Ovis aries: one gene and its partner. Each later gene encodes a partner of the first gene's protein in a complex. Links are inferred from orthologs where the notes say so. Each region holds a gene or a part of one and is shown in the gene's direction. Other genes may lie near its edges. The genes, in order: TERT and DKC1.

What was found.
Region 2: TERT (region 1) and DKC1 share a complex: the UniProt entries of both Homo sapiens proteins name them as parts of the telomerase holoenzyme complex. The link is inferred for Ovis aries from reciprocal best matches to the Homo sapiens genes TERT and DKC1.

Annotation. Positions count from the first base shown.
Region 1 is NC_056069.1:71,197,009-71,200,809, forward strand, and holds part of TERT (telomerase reverse transcriptase), read left to right. Parts: intron 1-256; coding exon 257-436; intron 437-998; coding exon 999-1,154; intron 1,155-3,717; coding exon 3,718-3,801. UniProt on the Homo sapiens protein: Telomerase is a ribonucleoprotein enzyme essential for the replication of chromosome termini in most eukaryotes. Active in progenitor and cancer cells. Inactive, or very low activity, in normal somatic cells.
Region 2 is NC_056080.1:81,268,725-81,273,269, forward strand, and holds the start of DKC1 (H/ACA ribonucleoprotein complex subunit DKC1), read left to right. Parts: upstream 1-1,685; 5' UTR 1,686-1,771; coding exon 1,772-1,787; intron 1,788-2,419; coding exon 2,420-2,487; intron 2,488-2,933; coding exon 2,934-3,020; intron 3,021-4,545.

The DNA of each region.
Region 1 (3,801 bases):
CCCCTTGGGGACGGCCCCCGGGGGCTGTCTGACCCTTGGTGTCCCCTTGGGGACGGCCCCCGGGGGCTGTCTGACCCTTGGTGTCCCCTTGGGGACGGTCCCTGGGGCTGTCCGACCCCGAGTCCCCTTGGGGACGGTGCCTGGGGGCTGTCTGACCCTTGGTGTCCCCTTGGGGATGACCCCTGGGGCTGTCTGACCCCGAGTCCCCTTGGCCATAGTTGCTCTGGCGACACTCCCGTCTGGGCTGGGCCCGCAGGTGCAGCATCTCAGCTCGCGGGTCAAGACGCTGTTCGCGGTGCTGAACTACGAGCGAGCTCGGCGTCCCGGCCTCCTGGGGGCCTCGGTGCTGGGCATGGACGACATCCACAGGGCCTGGAGGGCCTTCGTGCTGCCCCTGAGGGCCCGGGGCCCAGCCCCTCCGCTCTACTTCGTCAAGGTGGGCGCCCATCCCCACCCCTGTGGAGAGAGCCAGGGCTGCAGGTGACCCTGTGGGTCTGGTCCAGCTGATGTGGGAAGTGACCGCCTCCTACAGCCCCGTGTGTGCCAGGATGGGTCACCCCTGGTGGGGTCACGTCCATGTTAAACGTGACTCTCAGCTTCTGTGAGCTGCAAGACAGGGGCCCAGCTCCCGGGGCAGAGGCTCTGTGCCTCTGGAGTACTCTGGGAGTGCACCCCACTTCCCCGGGGCTCCTGCCCTCCCTCCAGGGAAGGAGACAGCTGCTCGGACCCTGGGCGGGTTGCCCTGTGTTGTGCCCTGGTCGTCAGGATGCCAGCCTGCAGCTCAGAGAGAGCATGCAGGCCAGTCCGAGGGGTGCTCAGAGTCCAGGGCAAGGGGAGTCTCAGAGAGAGCCCCCGGGGGGCAGGGATGGGGGTACAGGGTCTGCCCATCCCTCATGTTCAACTCACCCCAGTATTGGCTGATGGCAGGTCAGGACAAGCCGGACCCAAAACTCGGGGTTAGGGGTGAACGTGTCCTCAGGCCCCCTGTTCCCACATAGGCGGACGTGGTGGGGGCCTACGATGCCCTCCCCCAGGACAGGCTGGCAGAGGTGATCGCCAACGTGCTGCAGCCGCAGGAGAATACGTACTGCGTGCGCCGCTGCGCCGTGGTCCGCACCGCGCGCGGGCGCGTGTGCAAGTCTTTCAGGAGACACGTAAGAGCCACGGGGCCTGTGCAGTGCCGGGGGCGTGGCCTGCGGGGGCGGGGGGCGCACGCTCGGCACTGTGGAGCCGCGAGGACCACTCTTGCTGGTACTCCCATCCGGTCCGCCCCTGCCCTAGGCCTGACTGCACGTGAGTGGGGGACCCTGGCGGCAGCAGAGCCACACGGGTGTCCCGAGGTGTCCCCACGGCCACAGAGCAGCACCGTGTGTGCCCCGGGGCGGGGGTGGGGGTGAGGGCGGGGCGGGGGGGCGTCCTTCAGCAACTCCGAGGCTGCGCCGCCTTCTGCACGTACGTGCGTCATGGGGTGGGCGGCGGGGCCGCCTCTCCCCCCAACGATGGGGGCCTCAGGCCAGGAAGGGCTGGAAGAGGACGCGGGCGCTGGGTGGACCCCGAGGCCGCGGGGGCTGCTAGCGCTTGTCTCCTGCTCAGAGCAGCGTGTGTACCCGGAGACAGACGTGGGTGGACTCCCGGGAAGCGCTGGGGAGGGCGCACAGGAAACCTGGGCCCAGGCACCGCTGAGCGTGTTTGTGAGTCCAGGGAGTGTGATGCAGGGAGCTTGGGGGGATCTTGGATGTGTGGCACGGGTGGGGCAGCACCCAGAGGACGCCCCCCGGCCCCCCAGGCCTCCTCCTCCGACAGGCAGCAGGCTCACCTGTCTCTAACCTTGTGATGTGAAGCAAGCATGCTCTCCCTCCGGTCCAGTTTCGGGGGTCTGGGGCCCAGTGTGGCGGCCTCCGATGCTACCGGGTGAGGCCTAGCCTTCCGCCGGGTGGGCGTCTGCTGGTTCATGCCTGGATGTGGATCCAGGCGGTTGCCACCAGCCCTGTGATGCGCTGTTTGTGGAGACAAACCCTTGTCCCAAATCCTGTGGGGCCGATTCCAGGCTTGTGTCATTTTAGGAGACATCACCCGAGAGGTGCCAGGTGTGGTCCCGCGGGCCTCAGAGGGTCCAGCGGGCGGTGTTGGGGGCCCGGAAGGGCAGGGCTGCAGCCTGCAGCCAGGCCGCAAGGTGGGACCACACAGGCCCGTCTCTGGGACCAGGTCCAGGGGACCGGGCTCTGGGCACCTCGTGTGTCAGCCGCCCGGCTGGCACGTCCTCTGGGGGCACTGGGGGCGCCCGTCCAGTCTCCCCACGTGGGGCCGTCTGCCTCCTTTGTTGTCTGAGGGGATACGCCCACATTCTCGGGACAAGCCTCTGGGCACTCCTGGATGCTGTCTCAGCCTACCCTGCCTTTGCCGTTGCAAGTGGAGGCTCCGTGAACAGATGCTTTTCACTTTGACGGACCCAGCTTCTCTGCCTGAAACCGTGTTGCGCTTGCGCGGCCCGCCTGCTGTCCGCCTGACCCCTGCTCTGGAAGGACGTTTGTTATCCCAGCTGCCGCATTCAGGCGGGGCCGGTTTATTTTAATTAATTAATTAGGCTGCCCCAGATCTTAGTTCCAGTGTGGGGAATGAGTCCCTGGCCAGGGACCGAACACGGGCCGCTGCTTTGGGAGCTTGGCGTCCTAGCCACTGGGCCGCAGGGAAGTCCCTGGGGCCTGTTTTGAACCAGCTTGTGCACCGATGCTGCGATGTGCCTGTCTCTCCTCCAGTCTGGACTCCGCAGGCCTGTCTTCTGGTTCACGCGTCTGCCCTTCTCTGTCTCTAGTTTTAAACGCATCTAACCAGCCCTTAAGCTGGGCAGCCTGTTTTTCAGGTTTGGTTTTTCTCACAGGTTCCCGGTCTCTGGTTGACTGCCTCAGCTTTGCCTGTTGTGTGAGCAGTGTTATCTTGACTGATTTTAAAAATTCCAGAAACTGGCGCCTCCCCGGCCCGCAGGCAGTCTCCTCCTGTGTCTATCTGTCGTGTGAGAGGTTTTGGTCACACCTGGGCCTGTTTTTCCACAAAGCGCAGACTTTGAACGGGAGCCTTAACGGGTGGGCTTATGAGTCCTCCTCGGCGGGTGGTGTCTCCCCGACAGTGGCGCTGTGACCTGAGTCCTGCAAGGGTTTCTTGCGGACAGCGTGGCGTCTGGCCTGCCCCACTCCCCCTTCCCCGGTGTCCGCTGCAAGGGGCCCCCAGGCCCAGCCCCCTGGCTGCTAGGACTGCGTGCTCAGCTCAGCGTGGCTCCTGGGGTGCCTGAGTGAGGGTCCTTGCTCTGCAAGCCCCCCCGAGACGCCGTCAGTCCCGGCTGCTTCAGTTCAGTCCGGTCCCTCAGTCGTGTCCGACTCTTTGCGACCCCATGGACGGCAGCATGCCAGGCCTCCCTGTCCATCACCAACTCCCCGGAGTTCACCGAAACTCGTTCTTGCTGCTTAGTGGCCCTGAACCCCACAGTCTTTCTGCTCAGTGGATCCCGGCCTTGGGGAGAGGTCAGGGGGGAGGTGGGATGCACCCTGAAAACCAAGACCCCAGCCCGTCTGTGTCCACACCTCCCCGGCGCCCCCGGCGGCCTGGCATTTTCTGCCCGGTCACAGTGGCCGTGGCCAGCCCCCCAGACTCTGACCGCTGTCCTGAACACCATGCTGTCGGGGGTGGGGTGTCCACCCACTTCACCCTGTCCTCGGCCGGCAGGTGTCCACCTTCTCGGACTTTCAGCCGTACCTGAGGCAGCTCGTGGAGCATCTGCAGGTGATGGGCTCGCTGAGGGACGCCGTG
Region 2 (4,545 bases), on another chromosome or scaffold:
AAGACCATACCAACAGAATAATGTCTCTGCTTTTCAACACTGTCTAGGTTTGTCATGGTTTTCCTGCCAAGGAGCAAACATCTTCTGATTTCATGGCTGCAGTCACCATCCACAGTGATTTTAGATCACCAAAAGAGGAAACCTGTCACTGCATATATTTTAAGACACAAATAAAATGGAAAAATTCCTAATCTTTGGATGGCACAGGAGGAAATAGAAGAAGAGCCATAGTTGTCCTCTTCTGTCAGTAGCAGCTTGTTAGAAAAGATGATGCTAAAAATTCCATTGACAACAGCAATAAAGAAATAACCCCAGATCAATCAAGTCTATGGGGGATAGGTGTAAGAATCTCCACTTAAGAGTGAGAAGAGAAGTGAACGAAAGGAAGAAGGAAAAGAGCTGGAACCTGGAGCCGCTAGTTGCTTGGCAGTCCAGTACTGCTGCGGTGAGCGACCTGTGAGTGTTGATCACTTCACCTGGAGCCCCATTCAGTTCAGTCGCTCAGTCGTGTCTGACTCTTTGTGACCCCATGGAATTCTCCAGGCCAGAATACTGGAGTGGGTAGCTTTTCCCTTCTCCAGGGGATCTTCCCCACCCAGTGATCGAACTAATGTATCCTGCATTGCAGGCGGATTCTTTACCAGCTGAGCCACAAGGGAACCCCAAGGAGACCCGTAGTGGAGCTGCAATCCAGCTGTGCTGTGACCAGAAAGCATCACCAGAAGACCTGGTACAGAAAAAAAAAAAAAGGTAAAATATGTCATTCATAATGTTGTGCATTGCTTATATGCTGAAACGATAATATTGCCGATCGTTGTGTTAAACACAGTCTGTTACTGAAACCGATGTAACCTTCTACTTTGCTTTTTTTTTTTTTTCAAGTGGATGTTGGAAAATTTAAAAGTCCACAAGGGACTCGCACTCTGTTTCTATTGGGCAGTGCCGCTCTAGCAGGATGAAAATTAGAAGCTGCAAAGCTCTATGTGCCTCGACGTCTGTCTTCACTTTGGCATCGGGACTGATCCGACAGCCACCTTGAAGGGTCAGGGGTGGGGAAGCAAGGAAAGCTGAGACACGTGCCCAGGTGCCCAGTTCAGTTCAGGTCAGTCACTCAGTCATGTCCGACTCTTTGCGACCCCATGAATCACAGCACGCCAGGCCTCCCTGTCCATCACCAACTCCTGGAGTTCAGTCAGACTACTGTCCATAGAGTCAGTGATGCCATCCAGCCATCTCATCCTCTGTCGCCCCCTTCTCCTCCTGCCCCAAATCCCTCTCAGCATCAGAGTCTTTTCCAACCAGTCAACTCTTCGCATGAGGTGGCCAAAGTACTGGAGTTTCAGTTTTAGCATCATTCCTTCCAAAGAACACCCAGGGCTGATCTCCTTTAGAATGAACTGGTGGGCCCAAGTTTCACTTAAAAAAAAAAACCGGTGAGAAAGACTAGACATTCGCCCGGCCACGCCCACAGCTAAGCCCCGCCCAGGTGGGCTGCGCAGGCGTTCCCCGGCCGGCCCGCTGAAGGCGGGGCGAAGCCCAAGGCGCCCGCGCGGCGGTGCGAGCGCGGGCCGCCGCGGCCGCCAATGAGATGGTGCGGCCGGCAGGCGCGCGCCGGGGACTCCGCGCCGCCTCGCCCCGCCCCTCTGCACGACACGCACGGGGCGGCGCACAGGTGGGCGGGGCCTAGCGGCGCAGCCTGACGGCGGCGGGAGCCTGCAGGCGCTTCCTTGGCGGTGGTGGCCCACGCGGCTCGCGAGCTCAGCGGGGCAACATGGCGGACGCGGAAGGTGAGGGCGGTTCTCCGGTGGCTAGCAGGCCGGGCCCGGGTCGCGACCTCCGACGGGGGGAGCCGGGGGTGGGGGGTGGCAGACATCGAGGCTAGAACTGTCCGCTGGCTCCAGCCGCCGCGCCTCCTGCCGACCTTGTCGCTTGGCCTTGGCTCCACGGGGTGAGGGCGAGAGATTGAGAGGCCCCCGCGGTGACGTGACGCCATGAGGCCCAGGCCTCCCGCCGACAGGGCCTGGGTCGCGCTCCCCCGTTCTGCCGCCGTGGTCAGCGCCGCGCAAGGAAGGGAAGAGAAGGGGCCAAGGGGCTCGGGCGGGCGCGGAGCTCCCAGGCGAAAAAGAAGTTCTAGGGGCCCCAAGCCCTTGAGGACCGTCGGACGGTCCCTGACGGAACTTGCGGGCTGAGGGCCTTTCAGCCCCGCGCGGCCACGTGGTGAACCGGGCTGTAGGGGGAAACGTGCGGCTGCTGTCGCGAGCCCGCCCGGCCGCTCCGGGCACTGGCCTGACCCCCCTCGCTTTCCCTACGAGCCTATACCAGACGGCCGTTTTTCAGCTGCCCTGATGCGTCCTCTATTTTCAACTCGATCGCCTTGATTTTCGGGGAAAACTCCCAATTCTTGTGTGTGTTTTTTAAGTCCTTATTTTGCCGAAGAAACACAAGAAGAAAAAGGAGCGAAAATCATTACCAGAGGAGGCTGTGGCGGTGAGTAGGAATATTTTTACTCTGCTCCGACTCAAAAGAAAGGTTTCTTAGAGGCCAGATTGCAGAAAAGAAGTGTTTCTAAAGATTTTGAAGGAACGGGGTGTCATCGTGAGATAGAAACTACAAAGCTCCATCCAGCCTAGGTCTCTGCTGTCAGGCACACTTTGCTAAATGGTGTTGCCCACAGTGACTGCTTTCCCTGAAATTGTCTTTCTTATCAGACCCACTATCCCTCTTTTCTCTTAAATTGGCTATTCCCGTCTTGGTGCCGCTTCACTTATTTTTCTCAATTCTTCATTCATTTCTTCTCTTTCCTATGGAGATCTCAGTGAACAGGAATAGACACCTTGTTTTTTATTGCACAGGCATAGACTTTGGTGGTTGTAATGGAAGGGTTCAGATTCAAGTGGGGAGTCTTAACAAGTTGTGTTTCTGTCCTCTGGAAGGAAATACAACATGCTGAAGATTTTCTCATCAAACCTGAATCCAAAGTGGCTCAGTTGGACACGTCTCAGTGGCCCCTGTTGCTAAAGGTATGTGTTTTGCATCAGCTCAATGTCTGGCTTTTATACTGTTTCTGAGTATTAAACAGTTGATTAAGAATGGATCCTGGACTTAGGCAAGGCTAGATGAGGCTGCCTAAATCAGTGTTCCTCAAGGTAGTTGAGATGAAGACCCGAGGTTTTTTGTTTTTTGTGTTTTCTTTTAAATTTCCAGTGTACCCAACACTTGTGGAATACAGGTAAATTTTGCAACAATGTGAGACTGCTATCAAATTTTATAAACAATTCTCAATTTCTCTACTTCAGTTCAGTCGCTTAGTTGTGTCCGACTCTGTGACCCCATGAATCGCAGCACGCCAGGCCTCCCTGTCCATCACCAACTCCCGGAATTCACTCAAACTCACGTCCATCGAGTCAGTGATGCCATCCAGGCATCTCATCCTCTGTCATCCCTTTCTCCTCCTGCCCCCAATCCCTCCTAACATCAGTCTTTTCCAGTGAGTCAACTCTTCGCACCAGGTGGCCAAAGTACTGGATTTTCAGCTTTAGCATCATTCTTCCAAAGAAATCCCAGGGGTGATCTCCTTCAGAATGGACTGGTTGGTTCTCCTTGCAGTCCAAGGGTCTTCTCCAACACCACAGTTCAAAAGCATCAATTCTTTGGTGCTCAGCTTTCCTCACAGTCCAACTGTCACATCCATACATGACTACTTAAAAAACCATAGCCTTGACTAGACGGACCTATGTTGGCAAAGTACTGTCTCTGCTTTTGAATATGCTATCTAGGTTGGTCATAACTTTTCTTCCAAGGAGTAAGCGTCTTTTAATTTCATGGCTGCAATCCCCATCTGCAGTGATTTTGGAGCCCCAAAAAATAAAGTCTGACACTGTTTTCACTGTTTCCCATCTATTTCCCATGAAGTGATGGGACCAGATGCCATGATCTTCATTTTCTGAATGTTGAGCTTTAAACTACCATTTCACTCTCCTCTTTCACTTTCATCAAGAGGCTTTTTAGTTCCTCCTCACTTTCTGCCATAAGGGTGGTGTCATCTGCATATCTGAGTTTATTAATATTTCTCCCGGCAGTCTTGATTCCAGCTTGTGTTTCTTCCAGTCCAGCGTTTTTCATGATGTACTCTGCATATAAGTTAAATAAGCAGGGTGACAATATACAGCCTTGACGTACTCCTTTTCCTATTTGGAGTCAGTCTGTTGTTCCATGTCCAGTTCTAACTGTTGCTTCCTGACCTGCATACAGATTTCTCAAGAGGCAGGTCAGGTGGTCTGTATTCCCATCTCTTTCAGAATTTTCCACAGTTTATTGTGATCCACACAGTCAAAGGCTTTGCCATAGTCAATAAAGCAGAAATAGATGTTTTTCTGGAACTCTCTTGCTTTTTCCATGATCCGTCAAATGTTGGCAGCTTGATCTCTGGTTCCTCTGCCTTTTCTAAAACCAGTTTGAACATCAGGAAGTTCACAGTTCACGTGTTGCTGAAGCCTAGCTTGGAGAATTTTGAGCATTACTTTACTAGCATGTGAGATAAGTGCA